Callithrix jacchus: one gene and its partner. The protein of the gene in region 1 binds, or shares a complex with, the protein of each later gene. Links are inferred from orthologs where the notes say so. Each region holds a gene or a part of one and is shown on either strand. Other genes may lie near its edges. The genes, in order: BAG3 and HSPB8.

Evidence for each region.
Region 2: BAG3 (region 1) and HSPB8 share a complex: the UniProt entries of both Homo sapiens proteins name them as parts of the chaperone-assisted selective autophagy (CASA) complex. The link is inferred for Callithrix jacchus from reciprocal best matches to the Homo sapiens genes BAG3 and HSPB8.

Annotation. Positions count from the first base shown.
Region 1 is NC_133513.1:113,172,123-113,176,552, reverse strand, and holds the start of BAG3 (BAG family molecular chaperone regulator 3), read left to right. Parts: upstream 1-1,582; 5' UTR 1,583-1,896; coding exon 1,897-2,076; intron 2,077-2,148; exon of another isoform or gene 2,149-4,430. UniProt on the Homo sapiens protein: Co-chaperone and adapter protein that connects different classes of molecular chaperones including heat shock proteins 70 (HSP70s), e.g. HSPA1A/HSP70 or HSPA8/HSC70, and small heat shock proteins (sHSPs), e.g. HSPB8.
Region 2 is NC_133510.1:122,284,779-122,289,378, forward strand, and holds the start of HSPB8 (heat shock protein beta-8), read left to right. Parts: upstream 1-1,646; 5' UTR 1,647-2,022; coding exon 2,023-2,389; intron 2,390-4,600. UniProt on the Homo sapiens protein: Involved in the chaperone-assisted selective autophagy (CASA), a crucial process for protein quality control, particularly in mechanical strained cells and tissues such as muscle. Displays temperature-dependent chaperone activity.

The DNA of each region.
Region 1 (4,430 bases):
GTGGTGGGCGCCTGTAATCCCAGCTACTCCGGAGGCTGAGGCAGGAGAATCACTTGAACCCAGGAGGCGGAGGTTGCAGTGAGCCCAGACTGCACTACTGCATTCCAGCCTGGGTGACAAGAGCGAAACTCTGTCTCAAAAAAAAAGAAAATCCATGTACAAGTGGACTTGCTCAGTTCAAACCCATGTTAAGGGTCAATTGTACAGTAATCTGAAGTATGTAACCTGATGTTAACCAATCATTTCTCTCTCTCTCTCTCCCTCTCTCTCTCTCTTTTTAAGAGACAGGGTCCTGCTCTGTCGCTTAGGCTGGCATCAGGAGCACAATCATAGCCCATGGCAGCTTCAAACTCCTGGTCTCAAGTGAGCCTCCCACCTCAGCCTCCTGAGTAGCTGAGACTACAGGCATAAGCCACTGCACCTGCCTTATTTTTTTATTTTGTAGAGGTGTAGGTCTCACTGTGTTGTCCAGGCTGGTCAAACCCCTGGACTCAAGAGGTCCTCCAGTCTTGGCCTTCCAAAGTACTGGGATTACAGGCATGAGCCACAGTGCCAAGCCCTCATCCGTTATTTTTCTGTGATTCTCTCTGTCCCCTCCTTACGAGGAAAGTAATTTTAAAACAACCAATTCAGCCTTGGTTCTTTGTTTCTGTTTTCTTCAGCCCTTCTCTGTCTATAAAACCAACCTCTTCTGCTCGGCTTTTAGGAACACTTATTCTAATTTAATGGAGGTGTTGCCCAATTCTAGAATCACAAAATCAGTTAAGATCTTTAAACTAACAATAAAAGTTAACAAATAAAAACAAACAAAAAGATCTTTAAATTAAAAATGTTGTCATTTTCTCCTTTGGCAGGTTACAAGTGCAACCTCCATTCAATGAACCAAGCGAAAAAATGTCACGGTTAGGTTAGGTCTTTACTTCCCAAATGAGGGTCAAGATGTAGGATAGCAAGAACCAACCTCTACTATAAAAAAGATCCAAACCCAAGAGAATGTGATTTTTCTGTAAAGCTGTTTACTACAACGAAACTTTCTTTTTAGTCTGGGAGACTAAAAACCATCAGCTGACACAATCTTTTTTTCCTTGAAGTTTCCAAAGAAAGGCAAGTGAGTTTGCACTGACTTCCATTTTCTCCCTGCCTTCCTGCTAGTGTCAGATGAGCGTCCCCGCGCTCCTCCCAGGCAGCCCTCAGTGTCCCGGGCTGTCATATATGGGGGAGGGGATGGGGTGGGTGAGATGGCTTTGTTTGTACAGAAAGGAGGGGCGGCAGGCACGGGGAGGACCGGCTCCGGCCCAGGGAAAACTCACTAGGCGCTAAGGAGAGGGAGGGAGGGAGTGTGAAAGCCGAAACCCGCCCAGGGCGCACGGAGGACGACCCCAACTCAGTGCGTCCGGCGTCCCATCCGCAGTCAGGCCCCGAAGGCGCGCCCGCGGCCACTCCGGCCGGGGCACGCGCACTAGGAGGCTCGGGGAGGGGCGGAGGGAGGCGGGGGAGGGCGGGGAGGTCGGGGACGAACGAGAGGGCCGAGGCCCCGCCCCCGCCCGCCGCGATTATAGCCGATGACTCAGGGCGGAGCTCCGCATCCAACCCCGGGCCGCGGCCAACTTCTCTGGACGGGACTAGAAGTTTCTAGCCGGCCAGTTGCTACCTCCCTTTATCTCCTCCTTCTCCTCTAGCAGCGAGGAGGCTATTTCCAGACACTTCCACCCCTCTCAGGCCACGTCACCCCCGCCTTTAATTCATAAAGGTGCCCGGCGCCGGCTTCCCGGACACGTCGGCGGCGGAGAGGGGCCCGCGGCGGCGGCCAGGCCAGAGACTCGGCGCCCGGAGCCCGCGTTCCGCACCCGCGCCCCGGCGGCCCCCGCTCCGGGCCGACCCCAACCCCTACCCAGCATGAGCGCCGCCACCCACTCGCCCATGATGCAGGTGGCGTCCGGCAACGGTGACCGCGACCCCCTGCCCCCCGGCTGGGAGATCAAGATCGACCCGCAGACCGGCTGGCCCTTCTTCGTGGACCACAACAGCCGCACCACGACGTGGAACGACCCGCGCGTGCCCCCCGAGGGCCCCAAGGTGAGCCGGGCCCGCGGCCCGCCCTGGTCGATGGCGCCACCTCGACGGCGGGCGGCGGGAAGGGGGCCGGGCGGGTGGGACGCGAGAAGCGGGGCCCGGGGGTCGGCGAAGGCCCCTCTCAGGCGGACACCGGCTCCGCGCCCAGCCACACATTCCCGCGGCTCCCGGACGAGTCCCTGCTCCCGACCCGCCCTTGACAGGCGTCCGGGCCAAAGGAGGCCCCGGGATCCGGTGGCCCGGGAACCGTCCCCGCAGTGGCCCCTGTGCCGTCCGCGGCTCGACTCCAGGACGGAGGGCCGGGTGTCCGGCGCTGGCCTAGCCCTCCCGAGCTTGGAGGAGGGCAGCCGGCTTGGTCGGCTCCGGAGGCCGCAGTCCCTGCTGCCCGCTTGGCCTCCGGGCCCGGGACCCGCGGCGCACCCCGCTGTCCACGAACGCGAGGGAGACACAAGCTTGGATGGTGGTTTTGGGGGATTTTTACCTCTCAAGTTCCCTAACTTGGTTGAGGGATGTCTTCACTACTGTCCCATCTGAGGCACCCAATGACTCAGGAAGCTGGTGTCAAAACATTTATGCCTGTGTGTGTGTGTGTGTGTCAAATTAAAATTGTATTATTGTTTGAAAGTGCTTTGGATCTGTATGTATCCTATTATCACTTGTAAAATTAAAAACGGGGTGCATTTCTCCCCAGCAGTTTCTAAACTAGACGGGAGACTGTCTTACAGTTGGCCATTGCATTACCACATTGCCTCACCCTGGAGAGAAAGAGAACGATAATGTGTATGTTTATAATGGCATTCGCTTCCTGCCTTGTTATGGTATTAAAATACTTAGGATTTGTTACCAGTACACAAATAACTGAGTAATGATACTCTTGTGAATATAGCAGAAGTATGTCTCATTTACATATATGCAAGGATATATACTTTTTAATCCCCAAGAGCATGAAATTTGAAAACATAAGTTTGGAATGAGTCTGTTAATTTTCAAAAATCATACTTATACTATTCTTTCCATTTTCTGTAAATTTGAGCTTTCAAAATAAAAAGGTTTTAAAAATAATTATGTTATACTTAAAACGTAATTGTGACTGCTGTCTGGGCAAGATAGAAGCAGCAAAAGAGGTGATAAATTATTTTGAAGATTTAAAAACTCAGCAAATTAAAAATGCTTTGTATCTCATGATTTTAGAAGAAAGACCCATATTATTTCCCTTCATTTTTATACACGTTCTGTTTTAACAATATTGACAAAACTCTGGTTCCCAACAGTGAGATGGTGTACAGTCAGCAGTTTACATTTACGAGAGATTAATTGTATATTTATTCTTGAAAATTAATATAAGAGGCTGTAATTAGCTGGGATGGGCACAGTTAAATATACCTTTTTGGGTGTCCAACCCATTTTTGGGTGAAACTGACGCTCATTTCAAACCCCCTTTCTTAGCAGTCTGCGTGGATGTACATGATCTTTAGTGTGGTTTACAACTATTATTTTGAGGGCTTCTTCCTGTAGACATAGGGACAGTAGCATTTGCTGGCAGCCTTTGTTATGAGTGAAGATTAAGTTTGAATGTAAACATTGTCAGTACTTTGTTCTCAGCATGAAACTTACCCAGCAAGTTGAGATCTTCCTGTACCCACCTGGTGCCTGGGTTAGGCTGTGGTTTCCTAAACCTTAAAAGGAAAAAAGCAGGTTTAGTTACCATTATTCTTCTCAACAAATAGAAAGTAAGAACTACTAAATCAGAAGTCTGATGCTGGAAAGGTTTATTTGAAAATTTCACAGTGAAAATGTTAAAGTTGAAAGGTCCTTGAAGATCTTTTAGGTAGGCTTCTTTATTTTCTGAAAAAACCTGGAGAGTTCAGGTGTGATTTTTGAAGGTCACCCAGCTAGTACCGATAGCAGGGAGAGTACTGATGTCAGGAGAGTCCTCATAAGAGGCAGTGTGTCTGTTCAGAAGGTGGAAGTGAATGTTTTGTGAAACCGTGAAGCATGCAGGCTAAAATACTTGATTACCTTTGTGCCCTCCTGGCCACCAAGTTATTGGGTCACTGACCTCTGTGCTGTGATTGCTTGGATTTTGATGATGGGACATGATCAACTCAAGAAGAGAATTCTCGGGCTGGAGGCAGTGGCTCACGCCTATAATCCCAGCACTTTGGGAGGCCGAGGCGGGTGGATCACGAGGTCAAGAGATCAAGACCATCCTGGTCAACATGGTGAAACCCCGTCTCTACTAAAAATACAAAAATTAGCTGGGCATGGTGGCGTGTGCCTGTAGTCCCAGCTACTCGGGAGGCTGAGGCAGGAGAATTGCTTGAGCCCAGAAGGGGGAGGTTGCGGTGAGCCGGGAT
Region 2 (4,600 bases), on another chromosome or scaffold:
AAGCCCACAGAAGGAAAATGACATGCCCCAAATTGTCTACCTGTTGGGGACAGATCAAAGATTAGAACCCAAGCCCAAGAGGCCTCCGGGCCAACGGTGGACTTGTGAATTCATTTTTCCAGCTGCATGGGAGGAGCAGGAAAGTCTGGATTTGGGGCTTTGAGTTTCAGACCAGACATCCCGCCTGAGTATAACACCTTTTGATAATTATCAGTATCAACAGTCATAATAATAGAAGATACTGTTCATGAACACATCTATGGTAGTTTTTCCATCTGTAAAATGGGATAATACTGGTACTCTTACCTCACAGGATTGCTGGTAAGGATTACATGAGTTCACATTTATAAAGTCCATCAAACAGGGCTCGGCCTATAGCAAACATTATGTAGTTGATAACTCAAAATTGAAAATGCACAGGTGCCCATCAGACTGCTGGGTGCTGGAAGAGAATTAGCTCATGTATTCCTCATGGCAGGTCTGTGAGTTGGCTACTATTATGTCCATTTATAAGGAGGAAAACTGACAACTTGGAGATGCCCGGGAAGAATGTTACTGCCGATAAAGATGCTTTGCTTGACCAAACATGAATCAGATTCCTGAATCTTCTCCTAAGCCCATCTGTGCAGTTCTTTATAAAAATTCCGTATTGGCATGAACTCTGCCAAGTCTGTTTAGCAGCAATCACCCATCTTCGATTTCTGATCACCCTCAATATCTGATTAGTTTCCTCATCCTCCACCATCCCCCAGGTGATGTCTGAGCACCCTGGCCTGTCTTCAGCAAGAATTCTCTTAGGTTAGTTGAGCCAAATCGCCCTGATCCCTGGACCTTCCTCCTAGTAATTTTTCATTCGCGGACCCTCCCACCTGCTTCTTGGATACAAATTCCCACTTACCCATGACCTACTGGGTGTCGAGTCCAATCTTTCTCCCTCACTGCAAAATCCCATTTCTGGGATCCCTGCATTTATGGAGAAGTTCCCCTGCCCAGTAAAGTCTTGTTTATCATACTTAACAAGGTTCATACAAATATATATATACACATATATACATTTTAAAAACATTTTTATCTTTTAAAAACATTCTATTCTTATCATACTTTAACAAGTGTCACATGAATATATATATGTATATATACATATTTAAAAACTTCTTTTTCTTCACCACTCTCCCCAGAGGGCATTGAGGCTCTAGGAGTTTGGCTACCTTGTAAGTGGGGATTCCAACCCAGGGCCATCCTTCAAATCCACTGAGCTCCTGTCTCTCTCTTTCCCTTCTGCAGGTCCCCAGGGGAAAGGCAGGATACAACACGCTCTGGGGAAGGTATTTCCAGAGGGTGACCTGAGCCCTCAGCCAGGCTCGGGGTTATTAATAGCCAAGCCTCTGTGCCTTGCTTGCGGTGGGCGGCTCCAGCTCCCGGAGCGAGCAGAGGGCGGAGCTGAGCAGAGTGGCCAGGGGAGGAGAGAGTGTCTGGAGAGGCTGGCTGAACTTGGACGCAGCCCCTCCCTGCCAGCCCAGCTGTTCCTTCTGTGGATTCTCTGGGGCTGGTTCATCACCTCCGAATACTCCTGTGACAGGAGACGCTTGCAAAACCCGCCTCCAGCCTCCAGCAGCAAATAAATAGAAGGCTTGCAGCCCAGAAGGGGCCAGAAGAAGTTTCTAGGCGCGCGTGCCCTGGGTTTATTAAGTTCCTGGCTCCACTCTAGACCTCAGCGGCTCTGGCTGCCAGCCTGGGCGGTCTGGAAGGACAGTGGCTTGCTGGTCTGTCGTGAGGCAGTGCAGAGAGGGGCCCTCTGGGATTCTGCTGGACCTGCCTGGTGGTCATCTTTGGGGGCCGGGACCCCAGCTGAGGGGGCACAACCGTCCCTGGCAGCGGTTGGCTCTGCTTCTCCCTGCAGAAGAACAGCCTTTTCGGAAGCTGAAGAATAAGCCAGCCCAGCCACAACACCTTGTTGTGTGACCTTGGGCAGGTGGTTCCGTCTCTCTGAGCCTCTGTTTCCCTCTGAGCTCAGCAGCCACCATGGCTGACGGTCAGATGCCCTTCTCCTGCCACTACCCAAGCCGCCTGCGCCGAGACCCCTTCCGGGACTCTCCCCTCTCCTCTCGCCTGCTGGATGATGGCTTTGGTATGGACCCCTTCCCAGATGACTTGACGGCCCCTTGGCCCGACTGGGCTCTGCCTCGTCTCTCCTCAGCCTGGCCAGGCACCCTAAGGTCAGGCATGGTGCCCCGGGGCCCCACTGCCACGGCCAGGTTTGGGGTGCCTGCCGAGGGCAGGACCCCCCCACCCTTCCCTGGGGAGCCCTGGAAAGTGTGTGTGAATGTGCACAGCTTCAAGCCGGAGGAGTTGAAGGTGAAGACCAAAGATGGATACGTGGAGGTGTCTGGTGAGTCGGGGGCAGGATGGAGAGGCGATCGGGGAGGGGGTGTAGGCCTTAGCCCTGGGAATAGCCAGGAGAAAGTTTCCTGAGAGCAGATGCTATGACAGTGTGACCCAGGTGACCTCAGGGCTCAGGAATGCAGCCTGCAAAGTTATCTTTATGAAAAAGAGCTCCTCTCCCAGCTCCCTGGAGAGAACTTAACCTGCTTGACTCAGCTATTAGGGCCTTTGGGTGCTGATCAATCAGGGTACAGGCAGGAACGTGAAACCATGTTGGATATTTTGACAGAGAGCATTTAATAGAAAGAATAGATTAAGCAGATATCAAAGAATTAAAAAACAAAGAAGAAATGGGATTTGGTGCATTCCAGCCTCACAACACAGGGTCTAGAAGTGCACGTTAGGCTGAACAGTGATAGTGTTCAAAACCACAGCTGGCTTCCCGTGAAACACCTCTCCTTGTCCCAGACAAGGAAACTGAGGCTTACCAGTAATTTTAACACTAACTGGTAACTTTGAGTGCTAACTACGTGTTCAGCACCTTGCTAAGTGCCGTTGCCTGTAACATCTCAGCTAATACAACAACCAGAGGAGGTGGGTCCTGTTTATCTTCTTTTTTTGCAGATGAGGAAACCGAGGCACAGAGAGATTGAAGTAACTTGAAACTCCCCCTGAACGCTGGATTCAGACCCAGGCTATCTAAGAATTAGGAGGCCAGAAAGAAGTGATGATTTACTGAGTACCTACGAGATACCAAGGACTGGGCTGAAATTCTCAGACTTCTCCAAAACCATCCTCAGACCAGCCCAGAGTAGCAGGGGTGGCTAGGCCCATCTTGCAGTGATGAGGCTGAGGCCTAGGTGGGACTTACTCACAGTCATGCCATGAGTCAGCAAGAGGACGTGAGTAGGGACTGTACCTGTCCACTGCTTTAGGCCAGGGCTATTATTGCCACATCCCACCCTGGGAGAAAGAAACATACTAGGGGGAAAAAAGAGAGAGAAGACAGGAAGCTCACCCCTGTTAAGCTGGGCAGCAGAAAAAGCTTTCTTTTCCTTCCCTCCCGATTTACAATTAATACTCCATTACAAAGATTGTGTTCCCGGCAGAGGCTTGCCTTCCAGAAAATCAATTAAAGCCACTGCAAACAAAGGCTGGGCAGGAACAAGCCCCAGCAGCGTTCAGGGGGAGTTTCAAGCCAGTCACGGCAGAATTATAAACATCAGAGGCTCTGGCGGGTGTGGTGGGCCGGGAGACACGCTGGGGCCACGTGCTGCCGGACAGGGTCAGCCAGATCTCCGAGTTGGCTGGGAAGCCAGGCACGAGATCCGACAAGTTGGCTCCAACTCTAAACAGCAGGATGTGCAAATTACTTCACTTCTTTGTGCTTCTGTTTTGCTTTCTCTCCTGGAAATTAGGGTTCAAATAGTTACACCATAAGGTTGTTGTATTAAATGAGGTGATGCTGTAAAATGTGTACGTACCCGTGAACGCGGAAAATCTGAGACAGATCTCAATTAATTTAGGAAGTTTATTTTGCCAAGGTCGAGGGCAGGCCTGTGACACAGCCTCAGGAAGTCCCGATGACACATGCCCAAGGTGGTCCGGGCACAGCTTAACTTTATACATTTTAGGGAGACATGAGATATCAGTCGATATACGTAAGAAGTACATTGGTTCTGTCTGGAAAGGCGGGACAACTGGAAGCAAAGACAGGAAGACCTGAAGCAGGGAGAGGGCTTCCAGGTCACAGGTAGGTGAGAGACAAATGACTGCATTCTTTTGAGTTTCTAATCAGCCTTTCCAAGGGAGGCAATCAGACACGCATCTATGTCAGCCAGCAGAGGGGTGACTATGAATAGAAGGCGGGGCAGGTTGGTCCTAAGCAGTTCCCAGCCTGACTTTTCCCTTTAGCTTAGTGATTTGGGAGCCCCAGATTTATTTTCCTTTCACATTTCAGTATTATTATTGTCGTCGTTGTTAGAGTGCCAGGCACCCAGGAAGGCGCCAATAAATAATGAATAATAGATGCTCTTCGAAACCTGGGTTGAGATCCCAGCACTGCTCTTCACTAGCATGGTGGATGTGGACAAGAAATTCTTTTCATCCCGCTGAGCCTCAGTTTTCCCATCTGCAGAATGGGGATTACAATAATACCTGTCCTGCAAGAGTGTAGGAAAGATTAAACACGTGCAGACTACCTATGAAAGTACATGCA